2 linked regions of the Oreochromis niloticus genome follow. The protein of the gene in region 1 binds, or shares a complex with, the protein of each later gene. Links are inferred from orthologs where the notes say so. Each region holds a gene or a part of one and is shown in the gene's direction. Other genes may lie near its edges.

Evidence for each region. The genes of interacting proteins can lie anywhere in the genome.
Region 2: the proteins of ube2f (region 1) and dcun1d3 are in contact, whole or in part, in a crystal structure (PDB 4GBA), measured with the Homo sapiens proteins. The link is inferred for Oreochromis niloticus from reciprocal best matches to the Homo sapiens genes UBE2F and DCUN1D3. Residues at the interface, in NP_001265234.1 of Homo sapiens: Leu2, Thr3, Leu4, Lys7, Leu8; in NP_775746.1 of Homo sapiens: Glu108, Glu109, Glu112, Pro122, Thr123, Glu124, Met139, Cys140, Glu194, Ile204, Ala207, Leu208.

What each region holds. Positions count from the first base shown.
Region 1 is NC_031987.2:3,580,187-3,587,972, reverse strand, and holds the start of ube2f (NEDD8-conjugating enzyme UBE2F), read left to right. Parts: upstream 1-4,772; 5' UTR 4,773-5,005; intron 5,006-5,501; 5' UTR 5,502-5,685; intron 5,686-7,786. UniProt on the Homo sapiens protein: Accepts the ubiquitin-like protein NEDD8 from the UBA3-NAE1 E1 complex and catalyzes its covalent attachment to other proteins. Together with the E3 ubiquitin ligase RNF7/RBX2, specifically neddylates cullin-5 (CUL5).
Region 2 is NC_031973.2:19,637,899-19,645,900, reverse strand, and holds the start of dcun1d3 (DCN1-like protein 3), read left to right. Parts: upstream 1-4,983; 5' UTR 4,984-5,518; intron 5,519-5,546; exon of another isoform or gene 5,547-5,759; intron 5,760-6,567; 5' UTR 6,568-6,630; intron 6,631-7,504; 5' UTR 7,505-7,555; intron 7,556-7,665; 5' UTR 7,666-7,775; coding exon 7,776-8,002. Other genes in the region: lyrm1 (LYR motif containing protein 1), read right to left, coding at 2,023-2,136, 2,217-2,248, 2,843-2,903, 3,016-3,174. UniProt on the Homo sapiens protein: Contributes to the neddylation of all cullins by transferring NEDD8 from N-terminally acetylated NEDD8-conjugating E2s enzyme to different cullin C-terminal domain-RBX complexes and may play a role in the cell cycle progression by regulating the SCF ubiquitin E3 ligase complex, after UV damage.

The sequences.
Region 1 (7,786 bases):
AAAAGATGGTCGATTTAGGAGGTGACCCGACAACTTCAGCCTGTCAAACATAGCAATGGAGCAGTATGTTTTAAAAAAAAAAATCTAATTAAGCATGCACTCAGTACCCTAAGAATTATTATGATAGTTAAACACAGTGATAGTTGTATATCATATTATATCACTTCAAACAGAGGTGATCCAGTAACGCTGCACTAATGAATAAGACTAACTATTCACTTTAGCTAAAGTTATTAAGTTCGCTAAAGAGTTGGGATGCTGTGTAAGACATAAATAAAGCTCAAATACAAAGGTTTGGACAGCGTTTTGCATGTTTCCTTACTGTAGGGGTCTCTGCAAGCATACAGGGCTCTGAGAGGGTACAAGATGACAACTTTGGAATTCTACTAGAAACAGTCGATCATATTTGTCTGTCAAAGCTGAATCCAGGGCAAACTAGGCTAAATTAGCGTTTTTAGCTAGCAGCTACAATAAGCATAAAGGTTACTGTACGGCTATCAATTGTTAACATGACGCTTGTTCTTATACATGTAATACATTTATTACCAACCTGAGAGTTTATCCGCTGGTCATTCGACATGACGAATGACTTCTGAAGTCTTAATTCAGCTCAAGACGCTGTAGATTCCGTCAGTAACGCTATCAGTCTGTAGTTCTATTAATCTGCGCTTGAACCGGAACCGGATGTAAGTCCCAAAAAACTGAATTTTGGAACTGAAATTGAATTGTAGAACTGAAACTGAATGGTGAGAAGTGAATGTGAAATTATTCGAGAGCTGAATTTTTAAAGGATAAAATGCAGTTTCAAACCATAAATTCAATTTCAAATTAGACTAATTCAAATTCAGTTTTCAAAAGCTTTCATTCAAGTTACAATTCAGATTCAATCCGAGTAATTCAAATTCAAATTTAACTTATTCAAATTCAGTTTCTGATGGCACAGATTTCTGCCCATATCTGAGGCCCTGACGTGACAGTATACATAATTTTAGTAAATGCCTTGATTTTCAGTACTGGATTGGGGTCATTTAAGGACCGAAAGTCTAATTTGTCCATTTCTTTAGTGTGTGTTCTTGATCTCTTGCTCTCTCTTTAGGCTAAAACTCTCATTGATTTATGAGGGTATTTATTTGCTCTGGGTTCGAGTGTAATTTTTACACTATTCATTATAAATATTTATTTATTTACTTTGGTTCTCGATCTCTACAATGAAGCACCAACACTCCCACAAATAAATACAGATGTACGCTTTGTTGTTACTGGACATCCTCTGAATAACAAACGCGTTGTGTGAAGCGAGGATGTGAACGTCACACAGTCACGGGGTAAATCCTTTGGCCAGAAAGCCTGATGGCCAACACCTGTCTAAACACATGTAGATGAAAAACAGAACGCACACCCGCTGCAAGATTAATATGCCCCTCTTTTTTTAAGACCCTTATCTAATCAGACGGGTCAGTCAAGAGCATGCGCTTGTTTACAGTGACAGCACCACCCTCGTTCCTACAACAACTGGCCGAGTGAATCACAGTTTTGTCCAAATACTTTAGGGCGAACTGGGTTTGCTCCAAGAAAAATACGTTCTGTCAAACAGCAAATGCTCCGCTTTATATTTCTGAGTGTGTTTGTGTGTCTTTGTGCAGACATGGCAAACAGGAGGTTTTCATTTCATACATAGATGCTTCTTCATAAGCATCCTAACATTTGAATTTATGAACCTTTGCCCTGCACTGCAATGCAAGAGAACACCTTCACAAAGAATACTACATTTTTAATTTTTCTGTGATTTCTCTTTATCTTTGCATTTACAGTCAGAAAGGTTTGCACAGGACTTTATGGAGCATCCTTACAGCTTCCAAAGGGATTAAGAGGAAAAGTATCAGACAGGTGCTGCAAATCCAATCCTACAATCTTCCTAGGCGGAGCTGCTCTTCCTCCTGAGACATCCCCAACGGTCAGACTCTGCAACGATGGGGAGAAAACCCAAGAACTACATCTCAGACTGTACAGGCCTCAGTTAGTATTTTATAGATAGATAGATAGATAGATAGATAGATAGATGGATAGATAGATAGATAGATAGATAGATAGATAGATAGATAGACAGATAGACAGACAGACAGATAGATAGATAGATAGATAGATAGATAGATAGATAGATAGATAGATAGATAGATAGATAGATAGATAGATAGATAGATAGATAGGATTTTAATTTGAACATGCAGATATATCTGAAATAACAAGAGAAACAAGAAAAAACAAAACTTAAAAACCATCAAGTTTCATGTATATATCTATGTCTACAGAATGAGTGTGCTCAGAGTAGGATGAAGTCTACACTTTTCCTGTTCCTACCCCCGTATTTCAACTTTTATTACTTACAAATCCACATTCAGAATTCGACATTATATGATCCGTACATGTTTAACTATATACAAGTCTGCACTCATATACAACACATAAAACAATTTCAGCACTTAAACCGAAACAATAACAAACTACATTTTTACATAAACTAAGCACGCTGTGGTTAACACCTGCTTAATCTCTGAGCCTATTTTATATCTATGTTACAGATACCTTAATGAGCGCTTTAAGCTTGGGTTACTCTGGCTTTGATCTATAAAAAGGAGGACAAGGCTTCAATAGAGCACAATGAGACAACTCAGTCACTGAGAGGAATATTTCCTATATTAATGCAATTTATTATTTTTAAACAATCGTGTGAATTTGTGTATTGATGTACTTTTCTTGATTTCATCTGTACAGGTGTTCCACACACTAACTCATGTGACTGTAATGCTCTTTTATTTACATTTGTCCCTACTGCTGGCTTGCTGAACATAAGGATTCCTCTCAGGTCATGAGTATTTTGTCTTATTTGGAAGAACTTCTGAATGTTGTGGGGCAAAGATTTATTTGCTGCTTTGTACATTGTTTGCGCAGTTCTTAGACATTAAAGTTCATTACATTACAATTAGAAAAAGACCAAACAATATTTGAAAGGGTTACGAGGAGAAAGCCTCATCTTTCAGTTGCTTCTGAACAAACCCAAACTTCTGGAAAAGTTTGCTTTAGACAGATGAGACCAAAGTGGAGATGTTTGTCTATAACATAGCACCACATGTGGAAAAACAAACACAACACATCAGCACAAACACCTCATTCCAAGTGTCAAGCCCAGTGCTGAGAGGGTGATGATTTGGGCTTGCTTTGCCGGGACAGTCCCTGGGCACCTTGCAGCAACTGATTCGACCATGAGCTCCTCCGTATGCTAAAGTATTCTAGAGTGAAAAGCGAGGCATCCGGTGCTGCAAAGTCCAGACTTCAACCAAATTAATAGTGCAGAAGGACCTGTAGGTGTATTTAATTATCCACATGGCCCGAGTGTAAGTGATTCCAGCCTCCTCATAAAAAGACTGCAGCTGTTTTGTATCAACAAACACATATTGAAACTATTCACTTGCACTCGTGTATTTCTCCACTTTTGTTCAGTGTTTTCTTTTACTTACTGATATTTTACATATGTTAATCAAAGATGCTCCACTGTTTCACTCAATCCACAAACTGCACCGTGTCCTAGTTTCCCATTGGTCACATGACTGCATTTACTCCTCTTTGTCTATACAACGTTTCTCCTTTTCTTTCTTCTCATGAGTTTACATTTTTCAAACCCTTTAAAATGTATCTTGTACATGCATTATGGATCACACAACTTGGTTCCTCAGAAACACTCTTGTTTTAGAGTGTTGATGAAGTATAATGGTAAAAAAAATATTGAGTTATTGATTAATTTTGAAAACAGGTGATGCTTTGCCAGAATAAGATGGCTGATATGCTTTATTTAAAATGTAGTTTCAAATGTTCATGGTTGACATGTTAATATTCACTGCTCATATTACAAACATGTTATTAGCACAAGTATATAAGTACATTATAGCTATATTGAAACATGTATACCGTCAGGGTGGCAAAGTTATCTTATGTCATGTCAAAAGAAAGGTGAGTGCAGTACTCAGGCTGACTGAGATTTTTCCCTGAAAGCCCTTCAGACTCAGGCTCCAGTTATGATGAAGTCATTTCAAGGCAGTGAGTAAGGATTGTGCTACTGAGGAAGACGGGGAGGAGGAAGAAGAAGGTCAAATATATACCTTAAGTCTGAAAAAATGCAGAGGCATTAAGCTGTGGCAGGTCTGTACTTTGATAAAGAATCACTGAATTTATGCGAGGACTAGTATTTATAGTGTGCGTGCAGAACAAAAATGTATCCCGTCTTTTCATCAAATAAAAACAATTAAATGTTTCCCATTTTTGACTCCATTGAAAACAATATATCTGGTTACATGCAGCTCATAATTATATATAAACACACATTATTTGTGGAGAAGTGGAAATATTTTACTCATTGCCAAGTCCTTTTAGAGAAACAGTGTCAAACTCAAACTACAGCCCACTCTGATCTTTAGTTTAACTGCACAATGAATCCCTGGAAGATCTCAATATAAGAAAAAAGACATACACTTTTAAAATGTACGTCTCAGTTTTTCAACATGACAAAGAAATGCTGCTGTAGTTAATGACATAAATTTAATGCACGTGCAGATGTACAAATAATATACCAGTGTAATGTTAAATTATTTCTGTAATTAATTTTTTAAATAATCATATCATCTACTGCTCATTTTAAACTGGAACTTACTAGAACGGACGAGAAGACGGCTGCCGCCCTGCGGAACTATTTATCAGCTGCAGTGTCTACACGGACAACAATAAAGTAAACTACTCACTGCACTTCCGTTGCCCATGACACCGGAGCGAAGTTCTGACAGCTGATTCCTAAATCAGTTCATATCCATTTCGTGCCTCCAGGGCGTCATTTTTGAGGTTATTTACAGGCGCACGGAGCTGCTACGACCCTCGGCTGGAGTTGCAGACTGCGGCCCGAGCAGAGGAGGGGCGGCTGATTATGGTGTAGCGCGGAGCGCTAGCTCTGAGACAGCAGGTAACACAGATCACACACAGGCTAACAGCAGTTAGCACACAGACTTTGCGGGCAACTTTCAGCTGTACAGCTGCTCCCATCTACTTTTAGAGAGGAATAACCTCGAGCCGAGGCTGCTTATGAGCTTGGACATAGTGTCCAGCTAGCCGTGCTGAGCAGTGTGAGCCATTTGTTGTTGTTATTTTACGGTTGCACAGCAGCCCACAGCTCGGAGACGAGGCAGTGACTTCACTCTGAAAAGTTTTAGTACGAGTCCTGAATGTGTTTGAATCACTTTCAGCCCCGCACAAAGGTTTAACTCGTGGACTACACCCCTGTTTGGTTTGGGTGCTATAAGAAGGGAGCCGGCTCCTTCTAGTTTGGGTCACGTTCGGTTTGGGTTTTGGGTTTTGGGGAAGTTTGGGATTTACATTTTCAATTTCGCTGATCGCTGGAACTGCGGTAGGACTGACAGATGTGTCATATGTTGCCTGCTTACTGTTTGACCGGCATCCAGGTACTATGTGTCAAGGAGGTGCAGCAGTGAGTGACAGCTGAGGCAGGTGGGCCTTGACTCAGGCGCAGTGACACACATTTCACGGTCCGCTGATAGTTGATACCTCTCTGCTTCCCACATCGTTCAGACTGGATTCACACTGACCGGGAGCTGCAGCCTGCGCTGTCTGTGAAGCAGTATCACAGTAAGAGCACCGTGGCACATGATGTTTTCAAAAGACCAAAACGATTGAGTCTGATGTCAGATGAGAGCGGAGGACAAATATTGCATTTGCAATGTCTCATGATGTTCCAGATAAAAAAATGTAACCTGTCAGGAAAAAGATAAGATAGGCCAAATGACAGCAAGCCAGTGCTGTCCTCAGTGTGACCCACTGATGATTTACCCTTAACAGCCAGGGTCACATTCCGCCTCAGACACTGTTTGTTTACAGTATATCTGTGTTCCTGGATTCAAGGTCCATCTGTTTTCTCGTCATGAAAACTTCCAGCCCATGACTGACTGTGGACTGTACTGTACGAGTAGTGACCCTGAAAGAAATATAACACTCCATGATGTCTTGACCTGCTTATCACACAGAAGGAATGTGTGCAGTAAGATTTCCTTCTGTTGATGGAAATGTTGTGTTGTGCGAGACTAGATCCTGTTTTTGAGTTACCTTTGAATCCTCCCCCACTAAATTCACACTAAATTCACACTAAATTCACACCTTCTCTGCAACCAGATGGTAGCTACGAGATCAAAAGCATGATTGTGCAGGAAATAATATTTAACATATCTATAATTCAAAACTTTTTCGGCACGTCTCTGCACATCATTCGGAATTGCAGTGAGTTGGGTTTTCTAATATCATTCTTTTTAATATTTCACCATTATGAAATTGTCTCATATGTCAGTGTTTTGCCACAGGAAGTATGCAAAAAGATGAATTAAGACGCAAAGGAATGATGAGGTTTATCCATTACTACTTATGAGTTGCAATTAAGATGGATTACATATGAACGAGTTTAAAATCATTTTTTCACAGTAGTTGTAGTGATGTATGTAATATGTAGTAGTACTAATTTTCTGTGAAAAAATAGAGAAGACTTTTTACTGTTTGCCTTTGATGCAATTTACCTTGAAAGAGCTGTGATCCGTGTGTTTGCTCCTCTCTATTCTCTGTGTTACCTGTATGTGCATGATTGTAACAGCATTATGTTTTAAACCACAGTTACATGAGAAGTTTTGAATTTTTGTCCTCAATTTTAGACTGTGGGAGGAAACCAGTGTGAATGTTTGAATAACTGCAGTTAACAAGTAACGTTACTACAGATGTGATGTTTGTTTTGAGAGTGTTGATGGGGAAGAATAGATAACGTCAGAAGGAGCTTCACTAAGTCTTTAATGTTCTAGGGGAAGCATATGATAGGGTGTCCAGAGAGGAACTGTGGTGCTGCATGAGGAAGTGAGGACTGGCAAAGAAGGATGTAAGGGTGGTGCAGGACCTGTATGAGGTCAGCAAGATGGTGGTGAGGTGTGCAGTAGGAGTGACAGATGGGTTCAAGGTCGGGTGAGTTTACTTCAGGGATCAGCTCTTCTTGTTTGCAGTGGTGATGGACAGGCTGACCATCCACCCATGGACTGTGATGATTACAGATGACTGTGATCTGTAGTGAGAGTAGGTAGGGATCAAGTGGAAGAGAGCCTGGATAGGTGAAGCTATGGTCTCAAGAATGAAAGTCAGTAGAAGCAAGACAGAATACATGTGAATGAGAGGGAGATGGATGTAAGGGTGAAGTAGCAGAGGTGATGAAGGTAGATGAGTTTAAATGGGGGGGTCAGCCATTCAGTGCAACAGACAGTCCACAAGAGAGATGAAGAAGCGAGTGCAGGTTGAGTGGAGTGGGTGGAGATGGATGTCAGGGGTAATTTGTGACAGGAGAGCTGCAGGAATAAAAGGGAGGTTTTACAAGATGGTAGTGAGACCTGCTAGGATCTGTAGCTTGACATGGTGGCACTGACAATAAGACAGAAGGCCGGCCTGGAGGTGGCAAATTTTCATTGCGGGTGACCAGAATGGACAAGATTAGAAATGAGTTCATGAGAGGCACACATCAGGTTGGAGACAAAGTTGATGAGATGATTTGGACATGTACAGAGGAGGGACAATGGGAATATTGTCCAATGGATGTTTAATATGGAGCTATGAGACAGGAGGAAAAGAGAAAGACCACAGAGGTGGTTTATGGATGTATTGAAGGAAGACATGCAGAGGGTTGGTGTGACAGTGGAGGATGCTGGGA
Region 2 (8,002 bases), on another chromosome or scaffold:
TATATGCTTGTTACACCGAAATGTTTTACATCATCAAAGAAATTTAACTATTAGACAAAGATAACACAAGTAAACACAAAATGCAGTTTCTAAATAAATGTGTTTATTGTTAAGGAGGAGAAAAAAATCTAAACTTACATGGCCCTGTGTGAACATGTGATTGCCCCCACCTTGTAAAAACAATGGTTAACTGTGATTAACCACATCTTTTACAAAGTTGAGTTCAGTTTCACACCAAGGCCTGATTACTGCCAGACCTGCTGAATTAAGAAATCACCTAAATAAAACCTTTCTGACAACTGAAGAGATCTCAAAAAAAGCAGAACTTTTTGGGAGGTTTGAGTCCCGTTACATGTGGCATAAAACTAACACAGCATTTCAGAAAAGGAATGTCATACCAATAATAAAATGTGGTAGTAGTGTGATGGTCTGGGGCTGTTTTGCTGCCTCTGAACCTGGAAGACGTGCTGTGGTAAATGAAACCATGAATTCTGCTGTCTATCAAAACATCCTGAAGGTGAATGTCCGGTCATCTGTTTGTGACCTCAAGCTGAAGGGCACCTGGGTTCTGCAGCAGGACATTGATACAAAACACACCAGCAAGTCCACGTCTGAATGGCTGAAGAAAAACAAAATGAAGCCTTTGGAGTGGCCTCAAAGTCAAAGTCCTGACCTGAATCTGATTGAGATGCTGTGGCATGACCTTAAAAAGGCGGTTCATGCTCGAAAACCCTCCAGTGTGGCTGAATTACAACAATTCTGCAAAGATGAATGGGCCAAAATTCCTCCACAGCTCTGTAAAAGACTCATTGCTAGTTCTTACAAATACCTGATTGCAGCTGTTGCTGCTAAGGGTGGCCCAACCGGTTATTAGGTTTAGGGGGCAATCGCTTTTTCACACAGGGCCATGTAGGTATGGATTTTTTTTTCCCTTTTAATAATAAACAACTTCATTTACAAACTGCATTTTGTGTTTACTTGTGTTATCTATGTGCAATATTTACATGATGATCTAAAATCATTTAAGTGTGACAAGCATATAAAAAATAGGAAATCAGGAAGGAGGCAAACACTTTTTCACACCACCATAACACAGAAATATTTTCCCTTTTAAAGATGAACAAGCTTCCTCTTGTTGATAAAACATTGATTGTTTGCTGTAAAGTTGATTGGCTTTCTTGGATTATTAATTCAAATCACAATTTCATCATTTATTGTGCATTTAATGTATTTTATAAACTGCACATGAGTCACTATGCATAATACCTGCTGTCCGTGAATGAGAGGTGTTCATTGATCAGAGCAAGTAAACTTTTAAAGAGAGCAGAATATTTGTGATCATTTTACAGCGAGAGCGAATGCTCTTTAGTCTGTGCTGAAAAATGACTCGGTATTCAGTCAACAATAACATGAGTCATATTAGACATGGATCACTGACCCCACCTGCAGGTCATTGCCACTATAATCAATATGCGAGTTATCCCCAAATGGAATTGAAAGCGATGCACGCCCCGAGCTGTTCTTCCTCTGTATTCTCTGTGTCATTATTATGGGGGGACTGAGGTAAATAAAAAATATCAAAGCAAACTGCTCTCATAGCATTCTGGGTTTTTTACGAGAAAACAGTTTTTTTTACTAACAAAACAGATTATTAGAGAATATTTAGTGAATTTCATGATTTCGGACAGTGAGTTTAAAAGAGTCTGGAAATCCTTCACATTGAGACACTTTTATTAATCAAATGAACTCAACGATAAATAAAACATACAAACTTGTATGATATTACAAAGTGGTACAGTGGGAGCTTTCCTGAGCTGAAAGGAATCTGACGCTCTTCACCTACAGTTACAACTCATGATTGTGTTTTGAAAAAGAAAAAGAAAATACAATGAAAAGTGGCTTTATCCTGAATGACGTGCGTTCCTGCATCATTGAGTGCTTGCAGCATCTCGACTGCAACAGCACTCTAGTTTTCTCTCCTTGGTAACTTGAACTCTTGACGAAGATCGGGGATGTCGAGCATCAGGTCTCATCATGTGACTGTAAGTAAATTGGTTTGGCCTGTTTCCTCAGGCGCTGCTGTGCTCGCAGCTTCCTGCCCTTCTGAGTTGCCAGTCCCATGGGTGGTAGATACGTCTGCAACACACAGAGTATGCAAATAAAATTCCCCCAAAACAACATGACCCATTATGGTCTAATAAAGGGTAATTACTTACAGCTCTTGGATATGGATTTCTGTAATGAAGACCTTTAAAAAACATAAAAAAATAACAATGTGTCAGTGACATCAAACTATAAACAAATTATAAAATGAAAGCCAAGAAAAATTATTGTTTGGGTAAGTATGTAAGAGCACAACATAGCACTTTTCTCATCCTGTTACTGCAGGATTGCATTGTTATTTTTTTTTCCTCTGCAGTTTCAACCATGATTATTTTTATCCAAATCATTCAGGTCATCAGGTCAGCTTTGCTGCTTACTCACGCTTGACATGCTGAAAACCTTTCAACTGACAAAGAATCAGTGTGTGATGTGTAAGAGTTGCATAATCGCAGCATTGTATTATTGTTAACCTTTTCAGAATGTTTGTGCAAGTCAGATGTTTCAGTACATTCAGTCAACAACACCATTCTGCATGCTTTCAGGCTGAAGACAACAAGCATAAAAACATCCCAAAAATCACTGATACAACTGAGCTAGAAAGGTTACGTACTATCAATATATTTCCCTGAGAAACATGAAAATAAAAAACAAATGGTGTTGCTACTATTTTGGCCTCTTGACATGCTCACTACAGCCAGACATAAAAAAACAACAACTTGCTACTTTTCTCCATTCTTACCGATTTCTATCCTCGCTTCACATTCCTCTATGCACTTTTTTATTGATTCTTGTTCTGTGAGCTGAAAAACAAAACAACACACAAAAACAAAAAAAGCAGAAGTCTTAAAGATGCTATAAAGCCATTTTTTCTTTTTTTCAAATCCGTATTAGTGAGCAGAGTGTTGTTCACACCTTTTGGTTCTGTCTGAAAAGAGTGCGGGCCTCCTGCAGTATGTACTTCCTCTCTGTCTCCGTGTCACTCAGAACACCACTCTGTGCTTGCCAGGTTCGGGCGATGCGAAAAACACGCATGTACAGTGACAGCACAGTGGTACGGGTGGAGGCAGTCATCAGGGCTCAGAATCTGAGAAAAAAAACAAAAGATACCTGCAAAATAAAGTTTTTACTGCATTATCTGTTTGTGTTCTGTCCACGGTGTACCCCATTTCATGCCCCTGAATTAGATAAGCTGAAGATGGATGGATGGATGCTCTTTACTTACAGCCTTTATTACGCAATTATACCACTGGTGGTTAGTTAGCTAGATGTGACATTACTTATTGCTCTTTTCTTCAACTACTAGGAATTTAATTAAGAGCTTTACTGCACAATTAAGACATGAAGTACGTTATAACGAGTAACATAATAATAATATGCATGCTAAGCAAGCAACTAGTAAATGAATATATGAACATCTTTCCAGTACCGTGCAAAAGTCTTGAGTTTAATCTAATAAAAATGTCAAGGATAACACAGCATCTTTGCATCAACAAGGTGATTCCCGACGAGCGATTAGCTGAAAACTTGGCATAGATCTGCATGGTGTCCAATGTGTCCATAAAAAATTGAGGAAACTAAATTGTTGTAAGATGAAAATATCCCTTAAAAACTATCTAGAGCAGGTGAACAGTATCTGAACGTCATGTCCTTAAGAAATAGGGGAAAAAAATCCAGTATGACCAGACAGAGGACCTGAGAGATGCATCTGGCCCATTAGTTGATCCATCAACTGTCCACTGAAGCTACATTTGAAATGGTCTCAAGAAACCTGGGGTATGCCAAATTACACAAGAACTGGACTGAAAAATCAGTGGCAACAGGGCTTAATGGAGTGAGGAATCCAAATTCTCAAATTCATTTACAAATCATTGTCACTCTATGTACAAAGGAGGTCAGTAGAGAACAATGACAGTGAGTGTCTACAGCTGTCTGTGAAATGCCATGGATTGGCCGCCAGAGCATGGACCACAATATGACTGAAACAGTGTGGGAGAACAGAAAATAAAAAAAATAATAAAAAAAGAGATTTGAATGTCCTTGAAGACGCCTGGAGAACTTTTCCTGGAGACTACTTAATAAAATGGCAAGTTAGCTGACTAAGAGACTTCAGGATGTTGCGTTGAAGAATAAAGGTGGTCATATCAAATATTGACCTTCAAGGCCTGCAAAACTCGGTTTAGCCTGTATTTCTATTATATAAATAATATAAATTATTTCAAATTTTCCTTGCAAAATATAAAGAAAAGACTTTTGCAAAGTACTGTAGTTTTAGATTTTTAAATTATAGCTAAATATAATAGCCCTATTCAACGCTAGATGCCACTAAAATCAACACTGAGTTATTAAACAAAGTGTTACATGACTGACGGAGAGGTATTAACTGTATGTTCTAGTATGCGCGGAGACTGAATGACGCTGTATATTAAATAAAACCATTCTTGTTATTTGTACTCACTGATGTTTTAGCATCAATTGCAAACTTGAAGCTAGCCCTTATTGTGACTGACCAAAACGTACAAAGACAGGGACATTAAATTAAAGTCAACGTTACTGCCTGTCACATTAACAGCTTTTAATCGAATATTCGCTCATCATAATTTAATTAACACTACAAACGAAGAATTGACATACCGCCTGTGTCTGAAGAAGAGGATAGTTTACCAGCCGCTTGCTAGGACAGTCGCCTAATGATGACGCGTACCCATGGCTAATCGGGAAGAAGCTAAATAATAAACACAAACATAAAAGAGTTCACATACTTTTAGTCAAAGTTGTATTTGTTTCACTTGTTAGTGGATAAAAAGTAGAAATAAGGCAGAAATTAATATAAACACCTCTACAGTTCAATGTGTATGAGCAATTGTAATTAATTTACAGTGGGGTTTTTGAGTCATTTTTCATTTCGGATATTACTGTGATCTACAAAACATCCACTTTGTCCTTGTCATATGAATACTTCCATCAATTGGTTAAAAAAAAGGATGTATGTTAGTGTCGCAGACGCGAGGATCAGCTGTTGGGTGCTTGTAAGCAGGGAGGAAGTGATGCAGGAAAATGTCCATAATGTAGCTCCACTCAATGACTAAAAGGGGGAAGCACAAAGAAATTGGGTGCTTTAGTCCGAGCTGGCGTTTTAACTCACACCTAACAGCGAACACAACTGAAGATGGACTCTAAAGCTAGTTGCTAGCTTGTTACTTATTTATTTTCTAAGCGTGGAACAGAATTCAACATTGATGTGGAAGTTTTTTTTTTTTTTTGATCAGCTGCTAGCTAGTTAGCTAGCAATCTGAGTTAACGCGACGAGTTTGCTTCAGTTCGTATTTTTTGGCTAACTTGTTTAACTACTTAATTTCTTCAGCCATTCACAAAGTGATGTACATCCACATTCGACCGAATGTGTTTTCCCCTAAAGGTAAGTTTTTTCACGGTGATAATTTTGTTATTTCTTGATGTCTTAATCGAAAAATACCTAGCATAGCCGAGAGCTAACTTTTAGTTAATCGAGCTGATGCTAGCTAGCTATGACGACGTCGCCAGGGCCGGGCAGTTGGGATGGAGCTGTTAAATGGCCCGGTGCGGTGATCTAATGTGGCTCAATAGCAGCGTAACAACGACTGCCATCTGAATTTGTGTGTAATAGTTACAAGTCCGAGGTGCGGGTGATTATTTAATGCCGGTTTACACTATATTTTTGAGTGTTGTACTTGTGTTGTTATGCTCACCCGCCCAACAAACGTTAACTTGTTTGAAATAATATTATTGTAGATGTTAGTAAAGGGCAGCTGAGGATATATCGATATAACAGTGTTGCATATGTAACACAGTCGTATTCCAGTTCACCTCGGGACGAGCTAATAATCTGGTTAAACTACTGGCTGTATAGGTCACTAGGCTGCTTAGTGTTTACTAACTCCCGTGCCAGCTTATTGTGGATTATATTTGGCCAAATAAGCAAAATCTAATAAATAGAAATTCAGACGGCCATCTGAGCTTAGTTAGGTGAACTTGGCCACAGCAGACCTGAGAGAGATTTGCCCCTACATGCCCCATGTATTGATCAGGACTGGCTTTTTGCCCTGATGTTGAATACATGCATTAAATATGAAGTCAAGGGTCGTATCTCTGTTAGGTCAGTGATCACTGCAAAAAGTAGAAGTTGGTTTGAGAAGTTTCCTGAAGTTGTAGCTTTTACATCACAAACTGGAATATTGCGGCCCTTTTGAGATGTAGTTCCTTAAAACCAAACGTGTCAAAGCTCAGCTTTTCACAGTTCACAGTATGCAACATAGCTGACTTCTTTCCAGTTCTAAACAAGTAAATGAAAAATCCTGAAACAAGGCTAACTCTTTGCAAGTCCTCAAATGACATATTCATAGCATGTCGACCAAAATAGACCTGCAGGTTTGGGAATGATGAGCTATCACTTTCTGCTTATGATGACAAGATAATGTGTCTTTTCAGCATTGTGGATGGCAAGGTCACAATGATGGAGCTCAGTAGAAAGACAATGCCATCTGAAGGATTGTAAGTCAGCTATTTTATAAGTTATCAGACACATGATCACCTCATGTTTTTCCGTCAGCAGACTGATTAATTTCATTAACATGCATTCATCAAAGAAACAATTTTTTAAGTTAAATGGGTAGGTAGAGAAAGCAGTTTACAAAGCAAGCTTTAGTTTGATTAATGTAAACTCCAGTTTAGTTGCAACTTGGTCAGGATTTCATAATCTTGTATGCCTTTTGTGTTTTTGCCACATTTTACTTGTTAGAAAACCTAGAAAGTCCTGTATACTAACTTGCAAGATTCAAAATATTAGTATAAAAAAATGCGAACTATCTGGAGCCAGTGTAATTAACATATGTTGCTGTAAAATCCTAAAGAGACATGGATAACCATAGTAGCCCTGTATTCTTTGTCAATGTTTGGTGTTTCCAGTGTTTTTATTTTTCATCTGCTTTCATTATTGCTAGTAGAGAATGAAGAAACAATATGGTGCAATAATCTACTGCTTAGTATAAAACGAGGTAAAACTTCCTCTGTTCAAAGAGAACCCCCCCCCCTCCACACACACACACACCGTTAATGTGAACACAGCACAGAGGATGACCTATAAATGCAGTTATTTGTATCACAATATTTATAGAACTGTATTCCTATTTTAATTACCTATAACTAACTACCTATAACTATGGTGATACCAAGAAAAGCTCCTACAGCCGTCATATAAGAGTTATATAGGTCTTCTGACTTAACACATAACCCACTGGTAGGTTTCTGTGGTTAAGGGTGATACTCCTCTTGTACTACTTTTGACAAGGTTTCTATGGTAACCTGAACAGTGTTTAAGCATTGTATTCATGCCTATAGATTATTTTTGTTTTGCTTTGTTTTTCAGGGTTTTTAAATCTTCCCATTGAAGACTTGGATCGTGGTAGATTTAGCAGAGGTAGCTTGACATCTTCTGTGTTTCTCTGTACTAATATCCACTTTTTAACTTTTTTGTTGAGAGTTGCGGGGTGTAACTTCTTTATTTCTTAATAATGTTCTTCCCCTCAGGCTTGAGGGTATGTTGAGACGTCTTGTGAGGCCAGAGAAGAGGCGTCTAGGTGGTTCAGACGGGGACTGAAGGCGAGGAGGAAAGACAGACGAGGGACCGGGAGGAAGACATGGGCCAGTGTGTCACCAAGTGTAAGAATCCGACGTCCTCGCTCGGCAGCAAGAGTGGAGACAAGGAAAGCGGAGGAAAGTCCCACAAGAAAGGTGGCAGCGCTGGTGGTGTCGGGGGCCACAAAGAGGATCCTGGCACCCAGTGTAGCAAAGCCACCAATGAGCTGTCGAATGGCACCAAACCTTTAGAGGTCACAGTGGAGACGCCCATCATCACTGCAGGGGA